Oryctolagus cuniculus: one gene and its partners. The protein of the gene in region 2 purifies or fractionates together with the protein of the main gene of each other region. This does not show direct contact. Links are inferred from orthologs where the notes say so. Each region holds a gene or a part of one and is shown on either strand. Other genes may lie near its edges.

What was found. The genes of interacting proteins can lie anywhere in the genome.
Region 1: the proteins of SLC31A1 (region 2) and STX7 purify together in Homo sapiens (affinity purification with mass spectrometry; 3 studies listed by BioGRID and IntAct, counting the BioPlex papers as one, with this or other methods). This does not show direct contact. The link is inferred for Oryctolagus cuniculus from reciprocal best matches to the Homo sapiens genes SLC31A1 and STX7.
Region 3: the proteins of SLC31A1 (region 2) and B3GAT3 purify together in Homo sapiens (co-immunoprecipitation; 3 studies listed by BioGRID and IntAct, with this or other methods). This does not show direct contact. The link is inferred for Oryctolagus cuniculus from reciprocal best matches to the Homo sapiens genes SLC31A1 and B3GAT3.

The regions. Positions count from the first base shown.
Region 1 is NC_091436.1:36,549,344-36,553,538, reverse strand, and holds the start of STX7 (syntaxin-7), read right to left. Parts: upstream 2,829-4,195; 5' UTR 2,699-2,828; intron 1-2,698. UniProt on the Homo sapiens protein: May be involved in protein trafficking from the plasma membrane to the early endosome (EE) as well as in homotypic fusion of endocytic organelles. Mediates the endocytic trafficking from early endosomes to late endosomes and lysosomes.
Region 2 is NC_091432.1:216,862,424-216,866,022, forward strand, and holds part of SLC31A1 (high affinity copper uptake protein 1), read left to right. Parts: intron 1-870; coding exon 871-1,072; 3' UTR 1,073-3,599.
Region 3 is NC_091432.1:8,936,403-8,940,742, reverse strand, and holds the start of B3GAT3 (galactosylgalactosylxylosylprotein 3-beta-glucuronosyltransferase 3), read right to left. Parts: upstream 2,829-4,340; 5' UTR 2,693-2,828; coding exon 2,611-2,692; intron 1,684-2,610; coding exon 1,509-1,683; intron 713-1,508; coding exon of another isoform or gene 568-712; intron 436-567; coding exon 75-435; intron 1-74. UniProt on the Homo sapiens protein: Glycosaminoglycans biosynthesis. Involved in forming the linkage tetrasaccharide present in heparan sulfate and chondroitin sulfate.

The sequences.
Region 1 (4,195 bases), on a different chromosome or scaffold from region 2:
AAAACGGGCACACACAAATAGACAGTTAACTATAAACTGACCTAAAAGGTTATGAACTTTGCATACAGGTTAAATTGTTGCCAAGTTTTTCAAATGTTTGCTTTCCACATCTGTTTTCAGGACCTAGCTCAAGCTGCTACTGCCTAAAGCACTCTTATGGAATCCCTTTCAAAGTCCATTTAGAATTCCTAGTTTCATTCCTCAGACTGACAATTACATAACATTATCTGGACCTGCACTGTCTAACAGAGTAGTCACAAACTCCATAAGCTATTAAAACTACAATTAAGTCAAAAGAAAAATTCAGCCCTGAGTCATAACAGCAACCTCTCAAGGGTTCAAAGATTGTATGTGGCTAGTGTCCAAAGCCCAGACAGCTCCTGGACCGTCCACTTCCATGCTTGCAGCAAGTTCTGCGAGGATGATGCTGATCTCACCTCGGTAATTATCTTTGTGGAGATATACGAGGTCTGGGCACTACAAAGAGAAAAAGGGGCAGGGTAGATCAAAGCGCAGCACTCATAACGAGTCTTCTCAGACTGCTTCTAAAGGAACAAAGGGAATTTCAAAATGGAACCCTGGGTGACAAACACTGTCCTCACTTACCAGTGGCCATGCTGCAGAACCTTTAAGATTCCAGTAAGCATAGATCTTGTGTTCTTTAAATCTAGGCTGGGCAAAGAAGTGGTCAGTTTCACTTTCTCAATCATCAGCACCAGCATATAATACTGAATTTCTTTGCAGGTTGTGCACCAATACATAAGTTCCCGGAGTCATGGGGGTGATAACTTGTGTGTGTGTATGTGTGTGGACTGTTTGATTTTCAGAATTCAGGTACATAATAGGTGCTCAATTAATATTTGTAGAACAAATGAATAAAATGACCATACTTCTGAGAGACATGGACCCATCCTGAGGGTATATATAAGGGGTCTTCAGAAAGTTCATGGAAAATACCTATCACAAAAAATTTATGCGTGAATTTCAAAAACGTTTTGCACCAAAATAAACTTATCTTTTCTTTCTACTTCTACATAAGCATTCTGATGTACATTCACACTTCCATTTCTAAAGCACTGGATTCCAAAGCCTCTTTCAGATCCCAAAAGGATGCCCCAAGGTTATGGTTGTCTTGTGCCTGATGCCATTTCCCAACCTTGGAATGCTCTTTCCCGTGATCTGCACGGGACAGGCTACTTTTCCCAGGAGTTATCTATCACATGCTAGAGAAAGCCAGGCCTGATGTGAGAATTCACCACTCCTGCCACTCTGTCATTCTCTCTCAGTGCTCCCTAACACTCATCACTATCTAATTATTTAATTGGCATATGCTTATGTCTATCCTCATCTTTGGAACACAACAGATATCCAACGTTGTCATCTTGTGGTACGTGTAGTACCAGGTGCACAGTAGATGCTCAATGAAAGTGAGAGCGCTCACTACGGCTTAGTAATCTCTACACCTGCTCAACAGAGGCATTCCTCAAGCCACTACCTCCACAGGATGAGCCATTACACTACTCAGTGTTAGTTCACATTACCAAGGGCTTTGTTTTCACTTTTCCCACATTAAGCTTTCAAATTACATGGAATCACAGGAAAGCCTCACTCAGACTTACTGCAGATATTTTATATAATTTAATTTTCAACTACCAGTACTTGGCTGAAGTTTGGGAACATAACTAAAATTAGAATTGACTTGTTATCTGCAGCATAAGTAAAACATCTGAAGGAAAAATGACATAAACTTTGTAGAAGTGAATGATACTCATTAGACACTTTCAAACTACAGCCCAATTTCTAACTTGTCACAAGGCTGAGGCTGATCCACAACACCAGATGCAGATGTAGTGGAACATTTTTTCCCCCAGTCTCTGCCCAGGTGCAGCTCAGAGCAGAAGGAACACCCACCTCCGACATTACTAAACAGTACAGCATTTCATAATTACTTCCTTTTCTTCCAGATTCCGGGCAAGATTTAAATTATATATAACTGTGTCGAATACAGTGATCGGAGGTACAAAAAACGAATACACAAGTGTAAGAGCCAAGCAAATGTCAGAAATATGAGAGAGAAAACACAGCATTTGATCATAAAAGCAATGTTCCTATTAACCCATTCTGTCTAAATTTAAAGAAAGAGAGGGGTATGGAGGTGCTCGGAATTCTTAAAATATTGTGATTTCCAAGGCCTTAAAAATGTAATAAAAAGAAAGTTGGCATGTCAAAGTCACCAAAGCCAAACACAAAGGGCCGCTGAACACACGTCTAGGGTTTGTCTACCACAAGCATTTGACTCTCGTGCCCCTGTTTTCGGGAAGTTTCAAGCATGTGTTTGTCGACCCGTAAGTTAAAAGGAGGAAGAGGTCTCTTGTCTGTTCTCTCCAGCCTCGGGAGCGCAGCCCTGGGCGGCTCCAGGCGGCTGCCACCCGGCAAGCGCCGGACTGGCGGAGCTGGCGAGGCCGGCCGAACCGCCTCACCTCGGCCGCGAGTGCGGGTCCAGCGACGGGCCCGGGGGGCTTGGGGACGGCCGGCGCTCCGGGAGCACGGGCAGCACCCGCCCTTCGCCTCCCGCGAGTCTGCCGCAGAGCTCAGGGCGGCGGCCGGCGGACCAAGCGCACAGAGCAGGTGGCAACGCTGCAGGGACACCGCGACTCCGGCCGCCCAGCCAGAGCCCCCTGCCCCACGCCTCTCTTACCCTGACCACTTCGGCTTCCTCCTCCTCCAGCGGCCGCTGTCACCCCGGGGCCCCACAGCCCCCAGCTGCAACTCTCAGCTGATGGGCGGCGGCACAGGAACACCCACTGCGCATGCTCCCAGTGTAACCCGGAGAAGAAGGCGAGGCTAGAGGGGCTAGCTCCTCACCCATTGGCTTTAGGGACTGAGTGACAGAGAACCTCTCCCGCCCCCTCTGGTTCACAGCGAAGGAATGGAAGCGCCAGCAAAATTGCAGGGGGCAGTTCTTTGAAGGCGGGCACACAAATGGTGGAAGCCTTAGCCTGCATACAGAAGAAAAGAGGAGGAAATGGAGGGTATTCGTCTTCTTCATCCCATGAAGCCAACCCCCTGGACTCGTGCCTTCACCCCGCCCCCGCCTTAGGCTCTTCCCTGTCTCCTTTCCTAACCTTTAACTCCGCCGTAGACCGAATGCACAGCTCCATTCGAAAATGCAAACGCAGATACGCCATCCTAGCAGGAACAATGAAGGGACAGGGGAACACCCCGGGTACTCACTCAGTGGACTAGCTTTTCTTGATCACGCAAGTCAGTCCAAACATCCTTGAAAGGCAAGAAGCAATCTTCGTGGACTTTAAAATTGGAAGAGAATGTTCCAATAATAAATATTCAATAGGAAGTATTACCTGAAAAGCATCAGTTGCTTCAAGTGAGAGAAATACTTTACTAAACTAATTAGAAGATACAATGGCTTGGCCTTTGCTCCTATCAAGGCAACATTGTTTTCCAAAAAGATCATAAGATTAAGTGAGAAGTCTAGGGCTACTTAGAAAAGCAAAACAAAACACTAAGCACAAAGTGTTTTGAATTAGTACTACTTAGAAAATTCTAGGCTGTTTGGTGTTATACATGCACATGTATATCCCTGAATACATCAGGACTAGTCTTTACCTCTGTGAGATGGAAATAATACAAAGAGATGGGCTTGCTGGCCAAGTAGAGGGCACACCCTCACCTAAAGGCAGTGTGATTCAGATATGACCATTGTGAATGTTTGGGAATATTGGCCAATAAAGTCAAATTGTCTGCTTTTCGGGATATAGTGGAAATTCTATTTGTGTGTGTATGTGTGTGTGTGATATGTGAAGTTTTCTTTTTTGATGTTCTCAAATTGTTATGAAACATTCTCTGATCAGACAAAGTATGTGTTTGAACTCAAATAGTAGGCAGCAGTGACAGCCCCTGAAGCTGGAGAGACCCTTGTGGAAAATCTAGTGCCACTTCCTCATTTCATAGATTAAAGAAACCGAAACCCAAAGAAATATGAAAATCACAAATTATGAACAGCACAGGTCCAGATAGCCTAATTCAGAATTTAGAATCTTTCCTACTGTTTCATTCATTCAGAAAATGTTCATTGAGATCCTGCCACATGCCAAGTACTGCAGATGTCAAGGTAAGTAGGATGTAGTATTTTCTTCAAAGGAGCTTAAGGAGTGGAGGTCCTTCCCAGGACAGA
Region 2 (3,599 bases):
AATTGTACTGATGTCTATATTCCAAGAAAGTATTTGGATGACTGCTAGCTTTTCCATAGATTAGCATTGCTTTTTGAGTTCCAGTTTTGATAGAAATATAGGTCTTAAAACTAGATTGGGCCTCAAGAAATCCCAAAGACCAACCTCTCGAGCTTTCAAGCAAACAAGATTATTTATTCCCATGGTAGTGATGAGCTTATTAAAGCCCCAAAAGATTGGAACTTAGTTAAGATGAAAGAATGAGTAACCAGATCTCCTGATCCTTAATTTAGTTGTTTCTACTATACCACCCAGCCCTCAATTCTGTTTCCACTTTTGTGGAACATGAACTTTGCCAAGGGGGAAGGCCTAAAAATGTTCAGGCAGATAAGTATGGGAGGTTTTGCAGGAGTGGGGAAACTTTTTTCTGCCAAGGGCCTTTGGTTATTTATAGCATCATTTGTAGGCCAGACAAAATGATTGACTTACAAAATTAGTCTGCTATAGATTTATTGAATTTGAGTCCCACCTGCAGTTGCCTTGGCAGGGCCAAACCAATTGATTTCAGGGGCCTTATATTGCCCACAGGCCCGACGTTCCCTAAGCCTTCCCTTTCAGGACCCAAGGTGGAGACAAGCTGGGATTGCTCCTTGCTGTGTCCTCCTCCTCAAAGCACATATAACCATATCTGGCTGATGCTTATCAACCTGGCAGCCTATGGTATTCCATTCTCAGGGACTGTAAAATGTCCATACCCACAAGTGCCCACGAGTTGCCAAGATGGTGGTAAGGCAGTTCAGGTGAGGCTGCCCTCGTGGCTACAACGTTTGCCCTCCTCCAGGTCTCAGAGCTCCTAGAAGTCTGATTGTTGTGTCCCCATTTGCTCTCCAGGCAGCAGATGCTAAGCTTTCCTCACCTCCTGCAAACAGTGCTGCATATCATCCAGGTGGTCATCAGCTACTTCCTCATGCTCATCTTCATGACCTACAACGGGTACCTCTGTATTGCCGTAGCAGCCGGGGCCGGGACAGGATACTTTCTCTTCAGCTGGAAGAAAGCAGTGGTAGTGGACATCACAGAGCATTGTCATTAACGTCAGACTCCATGGTGTGGCCTTAATGATTGCAGTGGGAAGCAGTTTGAGACTGGAAGACATGATTCCTGCTCCAATCATCTCTTCTTGCTCCTCTTACACACACACACACACACACACACACACACACATAGCTCAACAGAGGTTTAGTTTACAGTCCCTGGGGTAAAGTGGTAACCTCCTAAACTGTTTTTTTTTCCTACTAAGTTGAGATTCCCATTTTTCTTAAAGAGAAGCCACCCGAGATGTCTTTTTCCTTGTCATCTTAGATCCCATTTATATGTTCTCGTCTAATCTGGGTAGCTTTCTATTCAATGACTTGGTCATCTGCTTCCTTGTTTTATCTTCTTGGTTTCTTTTAGCAGACAGCATATGAATTTGTTTTTTGTTTTGTTTTGTTTTGTTGTTTTGTTTTTCCCTGAGTCAGTGATGGAAAGGGTTTGACTTTGAGCAGGATTAATGGCAGGTGAGGGAAATTCTTGTCCAACTACACCCGGAACTCAAACTTAACATCAGAAAATGAGTTCTAGTCTTTGGACTCAATAAGTGGGAAATACCCTGTGCCTTTCTCCAGCTGTGATGTTTTGCACCAAAACCTTTGTAGTGTGCAGAGGGGTGGTTGAGGCTAATTCCAGGCTCAGGGCTTGCAGAGTGTGTATTCTTGAGTTGCTAACTCATCAATTTTATGTTCCCACTTACCATTTTGATCAGGATGAATTTGCTAATCAAAAAAAAAAAAGACAATCAATTTGAGAGAAAAGAAATAGATATTTTAAAATAAAACTGTAAAGCCATTGGCATTTTACTTTGACTTAGTACCTTGGTTTGTCTCAGCTGAATGAAGCAAGAGTTTGAAATTTTTCCCATTACTGTTTTCATGTGTTTGTCTCCAAACCAGTGATTTTTTTTTTTTTTTTTTACAGGCAGAGTGGACAGTGAGAGAAAGAGACAGAGAGAAAGGTCTTCCTTTGCCGTTGGTTCACCCTCCAATGGCTGCCGCGGCCAGCACGCTGTGGCCGGCGCACCGCGCTGATCTAATGGCAGGAGCCAGGTACCTATCCTGGTCTCCCATGGGGTGCAGGGCCCAAGTACTTGGGCCATCCTCCACTGCACTCCCTGGCCACAGCAGAGGGCTGGCCTGGAAGAGGGGCAACCGGGACAGAATCCGGCGCCCTGACCGGGACTAGAACCCGGTGTGCCTGCGCCGCAAGGCGGAGGATTAGCCTAGTGAGCTGTAGTGCCGGCATGCAAACCAGCGATTTTCAAAGTTGAGCATGCATCAGAACTAGCAGCTGACACACTAATTGCTGGGCCTTAATCCCAGAGCCCCAAAATTGGTATTTCTGGGTTCTTGATTGTTGTTCCAATTGATGGTCAAGGGGGCCCACACTTTAAGAATCTCTGGTTTAAATTAAGGAAGCATCATCTGGTATTGGGCATGGAAATTTGAATTGCTGATGGGTAGGTTGTACATCTGGGCATAATTCATGTCATAAATGCTGCTGGTCAATACTTAAGCATTCCAAAGACTGTTGTGCAGCTCCATCTGTGTACACCTATACCTGCACCTCTGCGCATCTGCAGGAAGGGCTGCAGCCAAAGTACTCTGATCAGCATGGATGAAATCACCACTCCTCAGTTTTAAAGAGCTGTGGTTTCTTGGAAGGAGTTTGAAGGTTGAGAGAGACCTTTGACCTGCAGTGTAAATCAGCCAGCCTGGGCCAGAAGGGCCAAAGCTCAGCTTTCTCTTTGGAGAAACTCAGGGTGCGGCCCACTGATGACCAGATTTGCATCAGCCCCAGCATCCATGCCCACGCCAGGCAGATCCCCATCCTCTGAAAGACCATCTTTGTCACTGTTAGGGGATTAATTAGATCACAAGTGGCTAGAAACCTCTTTTCTAAGTGAAGAATCCCATTGGATGTTTATTGTTAGTCTCTACTGCAGCCTTGTTTCAGTCCAAACTACCTCGGTACAGTGAATCTTCTGTGCTGGTCTGCTCAACCCTGCCCTCCTCGGAGCCAGACACAGCCGTGCCTCGGGCAGAGCTGTCCTGTTGGCTTGTGTTGTGGTTTTGAAGTTTGTACTTTCTCTGTGGATGCCAGTTAAATATTGGAGAGTGAGGAGTGTGTACTTCTATGGCTTTGAACCAAGAGAGGGTGACGAGCCTACTAGATCGAGGTTAAAATCCAAGAACCAACATTTTAGAGCTTTGTGGTTTTCTCTCATTTCATCCGCTTGAAGCCCTGGTAACTTAGCATGGGCAGAGTGAATTCCGGTTACTGACAAGAGTCCAGCACTAAAGGTGCAAATAGCCCATGGCTGTCTCGGAAGCCAAGGAATCATAAAACCATGAGAACCAAGTAAGAATCAAGGTTTAGTAGTGACTCTGGTGCTCTCTAGACATCTCAGCATGAGCTGCTATAAAATACCTTCCCAGTACTGGGACCTTATCAGTAAGGTAAGAAAAACCATTATAAATCTGAAACTAACAGAGAAAAACCTCTTCAGGATAGAGATAATCTCC
Region 3 (4,340 bases), about 210 Mb from region 2:
AGCACTGGGAACCATGGTAACGGATGATGCTGGTCCCCAGCTGGCTTTTTCCCCATCCCCATGCCAGCACTCACCTCCTCAAAGAGCTCGCGGCTGTAGGTGTTGTCATCGTCAGCAAAGTACACAACTCCGTGGGTCCCTGGTGGTGGTGGGTCCTTCTCTCCCCCTACAGCACCCCCTTTGCCCCGGAGCCAGTCCAGGGCCTTATTCCGCTGCTCTACACCACGGGGCCGAACCCAGCCTGGCTCGCCCTCCCGAAGCCGCTGGGCCTTGGGGGTGAGGACCGCCAGGTGTGTGAAGAGGAGGCCGGAGGCAGCCAGCAGTCCTGAGACCAGTGGGGTGGGGCCCTCGGCGTCCTCCACCAGCAGCCAGTGCAGCCGGGGCACGAGGCTCAGGGTCTGGGACAGCCGCACCAGCTCTGCCTTCTGCACCAGCCTGCAGGGGGAGAGAGGCAGCGCGTGCTCACTGCAGCCCGGACTCACAGCTGCTCCCGGGCATCTCCCGCGGCCTCTCCCCAGCAGCGCCCAAACCCCCTTTCTTGCCAGTCACCTTCGCGCTGATGCTCACCTGCCCTGTTTCTCCAGACCATGTCTGTCACCCACCTCCTGGGTTTGAACCCCTGCTGTGTAACTGATTAGGTCAGCAACCTTGGGAAAATGGCTCATTCTCCCTGGCCTCAGTTTCCTCATGTGTGAAATGGGACTAACAGTACCTTTAAGGATGACATTTTAAAGATCAATTAAGACGGTGACTTTCTAAAGCACAAGTAAACCAGGTTCTTTTGCCTTGTGAGCTGGGTTTCCAGAAAGGAATTTATTTTAGTCAAGCCCCTTGGCTTATTCCACACCAGGCGAAGATTTGAGTTTAGGCACTGGGAAATGGGAGGCGTGGCAGCTTCTGCGTATCTATGTCTCCAGCTCTGCCTGCCAGCCCCAGGTTGGTGGTGTGCACCTAGGAAGGGAGCGCTGTGCAGAGCTGTCTGTGTCTGGATGGCTCTGCCACCTGGGTCCAGAGAGGTGTGTGTGTTAACAGGCCTGTTAGGTGACAGGTACAATACCACATTCCCCTGTAGCTTCTGTCAGCAATAAGGCTTCAGTTTGATTTAAAATGTAGTCAAAACAAATGTAAAGCACTTAACGCCAGCCTGACATGGAAACAACAGCTGGTTGTAACCACTTCTAGACCCTGGTATGACTGCCCGCTTCCTTATTCAGGAATTTTTAAAACTTTTTCACCACAGGATTTCTATGGAGAGAGTTAACTCACTGGCAAGCCCAAAATTTCTTTAAAGCGTTATTATTCTCTCCTAAAATTTAGCAGGACCTTTGTATTCTGCTTCAAAGTCTAGCCATATCTCTGTCCTAGAAGAATGAGCATTTTCCCGTAAGTCTTGGGGTGAAGACGTGGGTCACTTAGTCTGTCGTTTGGCATGCTCTACTTTGAGCAACATCCCCCAACCCTGTGCCTCCCCGAACTCGCAGCCCTTCTGGGTGCTCCAGACCCCATACCTGGCGTAGGTGGGGGTAACAACATAGATAGTAGGCAGGGCCTCGGGTTCGGGGGGCTGGGCGGGGACAGGGGGTGGGCGCCGGAGATCTGCTTGCAGCTGGGAGATCCTCAGATCCTTCTGCCGAAGCTGCTCCGCGGCGGCCCGCAGGGGAGGGAGGCAGTCACATGGCTGGCCTGGTCCCAGGAAGCACCAGTCAGGAAAGGGGGTGGGAGCAGAGAATCAGAACATTCAGCATCCCAGGGGACCAGACCCTCACTGAGATCCCCTTACTGCCCCTCTGCTGCCGTGGAAGGCACCGCTTCAACTGGCAGCCTCTCTCCACCTTTCATAAATTCTAAGTTTCATCTGGACACTGAGCAGACAATCTACCTCTGTTCTTTCTGCCTGCTGGTCCTAATTTTGTCTTCTGGATGCCCTTAAACAGGGCAGCCTTTCAAATACCTGAGGCTCATGCGGTGGCACTGTCACTAAGCCCCTGCGTAAGAGGCAGGGTTCAACCTGTCTCCTTGTCTGTGACCAAAGACTCATTAAATTCATCGATGCCATCATTGGATAAATATTTATTGAATGCTCCTCGGGGGAGGCACTGCCTTTGGGGCAAAACAGACGCGGTCTCACCCCTTACGGCGCTTTCAGGTTGGTAAGGGAGGCAGACAGTAAGCAAAGCAGCAAATTAACAAAATCGCTACGGCCATGAAGGGAATACATAGGGTAGAGAATAAAAGGGAATCGGGAAGAGATGACTGTAGCTAGGGTGGTCAGGGGAGGTGACATTCGAGCTAGGATAAGAGGCAACCAGGGAAGACCCGGGACACAAGCACGGACAGAGGGACCTGGTGAAGCTTGCGCGAGCAATCAGCCTGGGGTTTTGGGAGGAGCTGTCAGGAAGGCAGGCCGGCCGGAGCAGAGCAGGGGAGAGGGGAGCAAGTGGGGCTCGAGAGGCGAACGGCGACAGGATCATGCAGGCCTTGCAGGCTCGGCCGAGGTGCGGCGGGGAGCCGCGGTGCGTCCCAGGGAGGGCCAGTGCGCCCGCGGCCGCAGAGGGCCGTCCGTGGGGCCGAGCGGGATGGGTGGACGCACCCCCGCCCCGCCCCGCTCACCGAGCTGCACCAGCGCGTAGAGGAGGCCGGCGATCGACACCAGGAAGTAGGCGAGAAACACGTTCTTCAGCTTCAGCTTCATGGCCGCGCCGCCGCGGGCGCAGGAGCACGGGGGTCCCCGCCCCCGCCGCCAGCCCGCAGGCCCCGCCCCTGCACCGACCCCGCCCTCCCAGCGCTTCTCCACTGGGCCCGGGAGCGGGGGGCTTGGCCTCGCCGCCCGGGCTCAGCACTTCCGGTCATCTGTGCTGTGCCCCCCGCCACCCGAGTCAATTTCCGGTCTCTCCGCCTAGTTCCGGGAACCGCGGACTGACGTCATATCCGGTGTCAGGGCCGGGGTGGAGGCACGTGGGAGCCACCTCTAGACCCGCCCGCTGGGCGCGGAGTTTAAAGCCGGTCCTCGCACCCAGCCTCCCCTGGTGTTCATTCATCCGCTCGCCAGCCGGGGCACCCACTAGCTTGTTACACAGTGAATGGAATTCGGGGCCTGCCATGTGCCCGGCGGGTACAAGAGCGTCCCAAGAATCCTCGCCGGAATCCTGACATAGTCGGCATCGCCAAGGTTGTAGGTAAGAGGGCGCAGGGGCAGAGACCCTGAACCACTTCGTTTTCTGGAGCTTGGTTTTCAGAGGCTGCTCCGGGATCGCTCGTCCTCACTGCTGGTGCGGGCAGGACCGCCACACACAAGGAAAGCCGCCTCGTGCATGCCACGTATGATGTCTGCTTCCACAGGAAGGCTGCTCCGTTCTCCCTTTGCGTCCTGGCACGCTGCACCTCTGGGAGACACCTGTAGGGAACTCTACCTCCCCACTGTCACAAGCAAACTTTCTTTTGAGCAGCTCCTTGAGGCTGATTATTTGGTGACACCCAAGCAAACAGGCCCCTGTGTCCACTAACAAGATGGGCAAAAATGATGTCATTCCCACGGGGTGGTTTTCTATGCCCCTTCCACATACCTGATTCCGGGATCTGCACAGTCTCCCATGGCCCACATTTCTGCAGCAGGTGCCTGGGGGAAGAGGTGTGCCAAGGCAGGCCACCTACAGGCAACTGGAACTATTCCCTGAGCTGGGGAATCCCATGAACTCGGCTCCACATCCTCACAAACACAAGCCATCCTTAGCTGCCATTTTTCCTACTTACAAATAGCCAATTCAGGAAGGGACGGGAGTATAGTTATATTCTCAGAATTGTTCTATAAAATACATGAAATCTATTCTGCATTAATAAATTTTTTAAGAATTTTTAAATAGCCAACTCAGGGCCAGTGTTATGGCTGCTACTTGCGACGCTGGCATCCTGTATCAGAGCACAGGTTCACATCCGTTACTGTTTTAGTCCAGCTCCCCAAATAATGCACCTGGGAAAGCAGCAAAGGATGGCCCAAGTACTCACATGGAACACTCCGTTGGAACTCTGGGCTCCTGGCTTTGGTCTGGCCCAGTCCTGGCTGTTGTGGCCATTTGGGGAATAAACCAGCTGATGGAAGATCTCCATCTCTCCCTCTAGGTCACTGCCTTTTAAATATTTTTTTTTTTTTTTTGGACAGGCAGAGTGGACAGTGAGAGACAGAGAGAAAGGTCTTCCTTTGCCGTTGGTTCACCCTCCAATGGCCGCCGCGGCCAGCGTACCGCGCTGATCCGATGGCAGGAGCCAGGTGCTTCTCCTGGTCTCCCATGGGGTGCAGGGCCCAAGGACTTGGGCCATCCTCCACCGCACTCCCTGGCCACAGC